Coturnix japonica: one gene and its partner. The protein of the gene in region 2 purifies or fractionates together with the protein of the main gene of each other region. This does not show direct contact. Links are inferred from orthologs where the notes say so. Each region holds a gene or a part of one and is shown on either strand. Other genes may lie near its edges.

What was found. Proteins that work in one complex are often made in the same cells at the same time.
Region 1: the proteins of EPC2 (region 2) and MBTD1 purify together in Homo sapiens (affinity purification with mass spectrometry; 3 studies listed by BioGRID and IntAct, with this or other methods). This does not show direct contact. The link is inferred for Coturnix japonica from reciprocal best matches to the Homo sapiens genes EPC2 and MBTD1.

What each region holds. Positions count from the first base shown.
Region 1 is NC_029533.1:8,711,353-8,715,345, reverse strand, and holds the start of MBTD1 (MBT domain-containing protein 1), read right to left. Parts: upstream 2,804-3,993; 5' UTR 2,691-2,803; intron 2,526-2,690; exon of another isoform or gene 2,412-2,525; intron 1,707-2,411; 5' UTR 1,556-1,706; intron 1,066-1,555; 5' UTR 874-1,065; intron 1-873. Other genes in the region: UTP18 (U3 small nucleolar RNA-associated protein 18 homolog), read left to right, coding at 3,073-3,339, 3,443-3,570, 3,657-3,752. UniProt on the Homo sapiens protein: Chromatin reader component of the NuA4 histone acetyltransferase complex, a multiprotein complex involved in transcriptional activation of select genes principally by acetylation of nucleosomal histones H4 and H2A.
Region 2 is NC_029522.1:31,185,384-31,189,665, reverse strand, and holds the start of EPC2 (enhancer of polycomb homolog 2), read left to right. Parts: upstream 1-1,476; 5' UTR 1,477-1,734; coding exon 1,735-1,887; intron 1,888-4,282. UniProt on the Homo sapiens protein: May play a role in transcription or DNA repair.

The DNA.
Region 1 (3,993 bases), on a different chromosome or scaffold from region 2:
GTGTAGACAATTTGCAAGATAAAACAATTTAACCTTAACTGGACATGAAACGCTTGGGAAATTGTTCTAGTACATCAATGAAAACTATGCTCGGGTGTTGGCAACATTTAAAAGAAAGCGTTTCAAAGGTGAAAACTTGCTATAGCAAATACCCCGTATTATCAAGCAGCCAAACCGTGCCTCCAAGTCAGCACATCCTGACCAAAGGCAGTTGGTACAAAACAACCACAGAAGCGTTTCCTCCTGCTCAGATGGGCACTCACTGCCATCCTATCAGCTTGGTGCTTGAATTCACTAAGACAGCGATTTAGAAATGCAAGAACTGCAGCTTAACCAAAGCACACAGTACCTCACACAGAGACATCAGTTTCAATGCTTGGATCTCACTCACAGAAACATGACAGAAGTAAGAAGGTCACCACCAACTTCCAGCCCTTGGGATCCGATAAAACATTCACTTTAATCACATAACCTTCACAAAGCAAGCTTTTCCCACAGCGCGCTTCAAAGTCACTGTTAAATTTGATTAAATAGTTTCTGTATTTGAAAGTTCATTCACATTTGATGCCACGAGTGAGGTTTTGGCTCTGGATGTCAGCATTAATGCACCAAGAACAAAAAACTCATTTATGACAACTCTTCTGAACCTCAGCTGGCCAAAACCACCCCGTGCAGTAACAGCACATCACTGCAGCTCTGCATGAACCTCATAGCATGGCAAGAAAGAAAAACCCAAACATGGGACGAACTGAAAGAAAATATACTTTCAGCTTTCATGAAAATCAAACAAACAAAAAACCCCAAAACTAAACATCTCGGGATCCTGGAAATCAGAACCAGCCAAACTTAGTTCGTTATATATAAGCAACTCACCTCTATCTGGAAATGTGCCTTCCACTCTTATTACATGTAAAATCTCAGCTGGAAAATTACAGAAACGTGTTTTCCTGCCTCTTCATTTGCTACGTATGACAGCATTTTGTCTGAAGCCAGTTGCTGCTGTTTGCCAATGGTTTTGTCCATAGCCTCTTCCCCGCGGGGTTTCACACGAGAAGAGTGGAGACTCTTACAAAGAAATATATCAAATTAGCAGGCAACTTGGAGGGGAGGGGGGGATGTAAATATATGAAATGTCTGAATTTGAATAAACTGAATACACATTACAAACTTCATTATATTTTTACAAAGCCCTTTACACATAGGAGCCCATGGAAGAGGCAAAGTCTAGAAGGTAAATAGTTGGTTCAAACAATTCTGTTAACAACAAAACAACAGTAGAATAACACCGACCCCAAACCAAGATCTGCTACACCTCAATTCCTTTTGCGTACTTAAGGGCAGATTCAGCAAAATATCACATGCCCAACGTGCACCAACTTACCTGAGAAACGAAGGTGTGCTGCAGTAGTTTGCAGAAGGTATCGTGAATGTTGTGAAATTAAATCAGCTTTTAGAAGCAAGAGAAGGAAGGCCAAGGTGGGATTTCTTTCCCCCCGAGTAATTACCACCACAGCTAATTAGCTCTTTAGGGAACAACAATGAAGATAATCCTTACTTTCAGCCTACAATCCTTGTGTGCTCACAGGTCTCCACACTCTCGGGAACAAGAGCCAAACCGTGCATCAACAGCAGCTTCCACCCAGGAAAGCACACAGCTCTGCCGGGCTTCCCTGCGGCTCACGTTACACACTTCCTCAACGCGATCCCTGGGCAGAAGTAACAAGCACAGATTACTGCCTCCATCTGTTAAGTCCCACGGATCTTTTTAATGACTGCATTGTTTCGGTCCCCATTTAAAGTCCCCGATTAGGATCTCCCTTAACTCTTTGATTCCGTTCCGTGCAAGTTTTAAACCGGACCGTTACAAACAATCGCAACCGACTAAAAACTGAACGGCAACTTGTCGGACACGCAAAAACTGCGTTCAAATAAACAGAAAATCGCCCCTCAGCTTTAGAGCCAGGGGGAAAAAAGCTGTCCCACGAGGCAGAGCTTCACAGCGGGGCGCTCCATAGAGCTGCTGCTCCGGGACACAGCGCAGCAACACAGAGCCGGGGAGCTCGCGCAGGGAACCGAGGCACAACGGAACGGCCCCGGAGCGCCGAGCTCGGGCTGGAAGGGGACGGTCGGGGCTTTAACTGGGCAGGAAGTCAATGGGAACAGCGCTTCCAACCAGCACAGCGCCGTGGATCGCTCCGGGAAGGACCGACAGCACAGCACGGCACAGCGCAGCACAAAGGGGTCGGGGCCGCCCCACGTGCGGGCTGTCAGGGCCGCCCCATCCCGGCCCGGCCCAGGGGCAGCGGAGCCGAACCCGAACCCGGCCGGACCGAGCAGCTGGCGGAGCAGCGGCCCCCCCCTCCTCCTCGTCCTCCTCCGTTCCCGCATCCCGTCGCTACTCACTCACTCACCGTGTCCTTTGTGTTCTCCATCAGGCCCCGTGGTGCAGCTCACTCCCCGCCGCCTCCTCCGCCCCCTCCCCTCGGCTCGGCCCCCTCCGCCTCCCCCCGTTCGGGGCCGGGTCCGGAGGCGGCCGCCAAGTTCAGCCGGTCCCGGATCGAACCGAGCCCCGCTCCGTGCGCCGGGACATCAACAACACCAACATCGCTCTGCGCAGCCGCGGAGCCCGGCCCCCCGCGCGCCCTCATTGGGCTCCGCGCCGCTCGGGGCTCCTCGCTCGCCGTACCCACCTCGGGGGGAAGCCATGGACGGACCGCGGGGCTCGGAGGGGCGGGACGGGCCGGACGGGGACGGCAGCTCCGCCAAGAGCCGGTTCGTTGTTATTAACGGACGGAGCGACGGGCCGGGCCGGCACCGGGCAGCGCTGAGGGAACGAGAGGTCACGTGAGTCACTGCCCCCCCCCGCGAGGAATGGAGAGCGCCAGGTCACGTGACACGCGGGGTGGGAGGAAGGAAATAAGGCGAAGAAAGGAGGTCACGTGACGGCCCTCGCGGCCTGGGGAAGCTCCCTGATCACGTGGTGTGGGCCCGGCCAATCCGGAGAGGGGAGGGTGTGAGTGCGACCGCGTGGGTGCTCAACGGCACTTCCGGTTCCGGTGTCCCCGTGGGGCGATGCGGGCGGTGCCGCGTGTTGTGTGTGCGGAGAGACCGGAACGGACGGGACGGAGCAAGAAGATGAAGATGAAGATGAAGGTGGTGAAGCGGGTCCGGCTGCAACACAAGGACACGGCGGTGCAGGACGAAGCGTCACACCGAGCCCGGCACTTACGGGCCATCTCCAGCACTACGGCCGCTGAACGGGAGCTGGAGGAGCTGGTGTTCGGTGACAGCATCGGGGCGGACGAGGACGAGCTGCTGCACAGGCTGGGCCGCAACGAGGTACCGGGCGGGTACCGGGCATGGGGGCGGCATCCGATACACGGCGGGACGGGGCAGGTTGTTGGCCCGCCCCGCTGACAGCAGCCGGCCCGGTTTGTTGCAGCTGAACGTCGCTCAAAGCGGGACCCGGCCGGAGCGATCCAGGGAGTCGGAATCGGAGGATGAAGGAACAGCGGGATCCCACGTTAAACGGCCCGTGTGGGTGGATGAGGAGGATGAAGCCGAGGAAAGGTGCGATCACACGGCGGGTGTACAGTGACCATCGGCTTCCATTGAGCTGAGCTGAGCTGTGCATTTGTTGTGTTTTTTTGCTCTAGGATCGACATGACCCACCGGTACAGGAGGGAGCTGATGAAAAGCGACGCTGACAAGATACTGACGAAGAAAAAGCTGAAAGCGAGGCTTGAAGAACAGTGAGTTCATTGAGGTTTTTGTAGTGAGCTGTGCTAAGAGATGTACAGATAGACTTGGCGTTCTCAGCCCCTGTTTGTCTTTTTCCTGCTGTAAACTGCTTCAGCCCTGGAGCTGTTCTTGCCCTGGAAGGTGCTTCTCAGTTAGTGCTTCTTATAGTGACTATGGGATCTTTAAATCCAGAGTAACACCGTTATTTGACTTTTCTTTATCAACTTAATGCTTGTTTACTTCTAAGAAGTT
Region 2 (4,282 bases):
CGAGAGCTACAGAGCTCTCTTTGCTACCACCTTCATTCCTATGGAACAGTTCATACTGCCATCCTTATGACAGCTTTCAGTTTCTCAGATGCAGCTGTTGGGCTCTGATTGTTCCAAAGGAGACACACAAGAAGTGCTGTTCCAGCCCAGGATTAATTTCACTTACAATCTCCTGATTGTTGCTGCACAGTAAGACTGAGAAACTAAAGCTGTTGCACAAGTGCGTTGCAATTACTCTTTGGAAAATGGCAACCATCTGCTTCTACCAACCAGTTGTGAATATCTTTCCTGATAACAAACCAACTTTGAGGGTTAGAAGTTTGGCTGCTTCCTGTAACTACTGAGCTAAAAACTACACCAATTTGAAACAGTCATGTAAAGAGGAGCATTGCTGAATGCATCTCACACACAATTTGGGCTACTACAAGCAAGGCTGGTATTTAGCTCTGAACTGCTTTACGATGTGCTTCTGTGTAAAAGGGTGTTAGTTCCAATGCAAGGCAAGAATTGTCTATGAACACAAACATTTTTTAGAGCAGAAGGGCATGAGTGAATGCACTACTCCAGATTGCCTCCAATTGAAGCTGTGTTTAAATAAATCAGTGTGCAGCGGTGCCTTATAGATTTGTTGGCATTCAGAAGCGATTTAGACACGTGTTTTAATCCCTAAGTAAGAGGAGGGTACACGCTCAGGTTCACTGACAGCAGCTTTTGCTAAGGCAGATCCTGACAAGTGTCACTCAATCACTGCTCTGACCCTGAGCAACCACAGCCTGGGCAGCACCAGCTCGGCAGTTTTCTTATGTTAAAACTGAAACAAAACACCTTTAAAGGTAAAATCAGGCACCTGCACAACTCCCTGCGGGCTTCTCCTGTGGAGCAGAGCTGCTGCCGGGCACGGGGAGTGAATGACTGACTGACTGACTGACTGTGACTAACTGACTGACTGACTGGCTAACTGACTGACTGACTGACTGACTGACTATCTGACTGACTGACTGACTGACTATCTGACTGACTGACTGACTGACTATCTGACTGACTGACTGACTGACTGAATGACTGACTGACTATCTGACTGACTGACTAACTAACTAACTAACTGACTAACTGACTGACTGTGACTGACTGACTGACTGACTATCTGACTGACTAACCAACTAGCTGACTAACTGACTGACTGACTGACTTTAACTAACTAACTAACTAACTGACTGACTGACTGTCTTCCCGCCTCCTCAGCGCTACTCCTCCGGTTCGAGCGTCCAGCCGGCAATGCACGCTCTGAGGAGCGAATCCCCCCGTACGCCGACCCCCATAGAACTACCTCACCCACCTCCCTCCATCCCGCTCCACGTCCCTCAGCCCCGCCCCTGGCTGCGCGCGCAGCGCACCCTCCTCCTCCTCCTCCTCCCGCCTCCCTCCCTCCCTCCGTTCCGTCCCCCCCCCGCTCCGGGTTCTCGCGGTGGCTGCCGGGATCGCTGGCCGCTTTGGTTAATGTCCGCCATGTTTGCCATGGCGCAGGGAGCGGATCGAGCGAGCCCGGCGCGGATCTAGGGCTGCGGGGCGTGCGCTGTGAGCTACGGGCGGCCCCGCGGAGAGCTGTTCCGGGGCGGCGGGACCCTCCATGGTGGTGCGGGCCGGGTGCGGGAGCGGCTGGGAGGCGGCGGCGCGGCCGCACTGAGGGCCCCCCCCGCCCGCCCGGCCCCGGGGTGTTATTGTGAGGGGGAGACAATGAGCAAACTCTCCTTCCGAGCCCGGGCGCTAGACGCCGCCAAACCGCTGCCCATCTACCGCGGCAAGGACATGCCCGACCTCAACGACTGCGTCTCCATCAACCGGGCTGTGCCGCAGATGCCCACGGGGATGGAGAAAGAGGAGGAATCGGTAAGGGAGCCGCGCAGGGGGGGCACCATTGTTTATCAGACCCCCCCCCCCCCCTCCCCTCACGGGAAATAGGCCATCGGCATTCACCAAGCGCACTACGCACGCTCCCCACCGCGGCGCTGCACGGCTTGGACGGGGCCCTGCGCAAAGAGCGCAGCGTAAACTGCTGTCCGACGCCGTAAGCGGGCCCTGCTCCGCCATCTTCTTTGCGTCCCGACTCGCGAGTGTTTTGATTAGCGGGGGGGAGGCCTTTACGTTAGCGTAAGGAGGAGGAAGGCGTAAGGCGCGTCTGTGAATGAGCGGGCGGGCGCAGCCGGCGTAGCGTGCTAAGGCCGCTAACCTTGGGGCGGGCTGCGGCTCGGGCAGCGCTGTGACAGGCGGCGGCGTGATCGGAGAGCAGCACAGCGGGGCTGGGGGGCAGCATAGCGGGGCTGGCGGTTCGGGTTGCCCGGCTTGAGCCTCCGGTGTTTGAAATGACTCCGTTGTTTTGGTAAACGCTGCTTGGAATAAACTTGTTTGCGCTTCAGCTGACGGGCTGCCGAAGTGATGGTGAAGTTCAGGCTGGTGCTCGTGTATGGATTTTTAGCTTTGGGTGATTCTGAAGTTTTTGTCTCTTTTCTGTAAGGAAACTTGTGCTAAATCCTACCGGGCTGTAAGAATGGGAGGTATGGAAGATTGAGGTGGGATGTCAGGGATGTCAGTTCTTTACTCTGAGAGTGGTGAGGTGCTGGAACAGCTGCCCAGAGAGGCTGTGGATGCCCCGTCCATCCCTGGAGCTGTTCAAGGCCAGGTTGGATGGGGCCCTGGGCAGCCTGGGCTGGTATCAATGTGGATGTTGGTGGCCCTGCCTGTGGTAGAGGGGCTGGAGCTTCACGATCCTTGAGATCCCTTCCAACCCAGCCATGCTGTGATTCTGTGTGCCCTGCAGTGTGGCTGTACAGGGTATGTTCTGCAGGAGGCTCGATATGAAGCAGTCAGAGAAGCAGCAAGGAGGTGCAGAGTGAGACACGTTATCAGGGCACAGCGTTCATCTGTGCCACTGATGGAGAGTTTGGGGTACTGCTGTGTGCTGACAGCTCTGTTTATGGGGTGGGTCTCAGCCCAGTGCCCCACAAGCGGTTTTAAATGTAGATTTCTGTGACAGTGGCATGTAAGGCTTTTCTGGGTATAGATGGCTGTAGTTAAATATATATGAATATACATATTATATGAATAAATATATATGAATTCACTCCAGCCAGCTCTTTTTATTGGTTTTTTTTTTTGTTTTTTTTTTTTTCATAGCAAATGTTGCTGTTATTCACAGGGACTTCTGTGGGGAGGGAGCTGCTCACCTGTTCATTTCTGACATCTCCACTACTCAGGAGTCTCAGGGAATGGTTTGAAACTGAGACAGGGGAGGTTTAGGTTGAATCTTAGGAAGTTTTTCCCCCAGAGGGTGGTGACGCACTGTTCACAGGTTGCCCAAGGAGGCTGTGGATGCCCCATCCCTGCAGGCATTCAAGGCCAGGCTGGATGTGGCTCTGGGCAGCCTGGGCTGCTGGTTGGTGACCCTGCACACAGCAGGGGGTTGAAATGAGATGAGTTTCGTGGTCATTTTCAACCGAGGCCATTGTGATTATTTGTTTGTATGCTCAGCCCTCTGCTGGGGTTACGGCTGTTGGGGTGGCTGCTGTTCACTCACACACACATACAGCTCAGTGGTCCCAGAGCCAAGGGGTGACTTCCAGTACTGACTGAACTGGCTATAACCATATTTACCCATTTCCAAGACTTAAAACTGCTTGATGCATCTGCCTCGTACCTTACAGCCTCATTTCTCTAGTAGAGGAGTATGATTTGCTTTGTTCATGATTGAGTTTTTTTGCATCGAAAGACACGAACCAGAGTGCTTTTATTTTTTTTTTTTGTGTGATTTCATTCTTATTATCTTTCAAGTAGTACTATTATTTGCTACGTCAGCCTGAAGTTAGTGGTGATTCATTGTTATCGCTCATTTCTAATACTATTTCTGAAGTTATTTGGACGAGGAATTAAAGCGGTGCCGAGTCCCTGTGGTTCAGGCAGGGTGTTGGAGCTCACCGCTGGTTGTCACATCTGGTGTGTGGGTGTGAGCATCTTCATTGGACTTTTGTTTTGATCTGATCTTGATGAAAATTCCTGTATTATTTCCGTCTAAGTATCTTAAAGATTTACATGTGCTCGAAGCGTTTCACAAATCAGCTGCTCTTCTCGCTCACACGGAGGTTCCTGCTGTGAAGGGATTAGGCTTCTGGTATGTTGTATGTTTATGTTAGTGAGTGTTTATCATTTATCCTGAATTAAACCCGAGTAGGAAAGCGTGTGGGTTTTCTAATCTCCTGTAAGAGGGAGCTCATAATTAAACAAAAGTAGG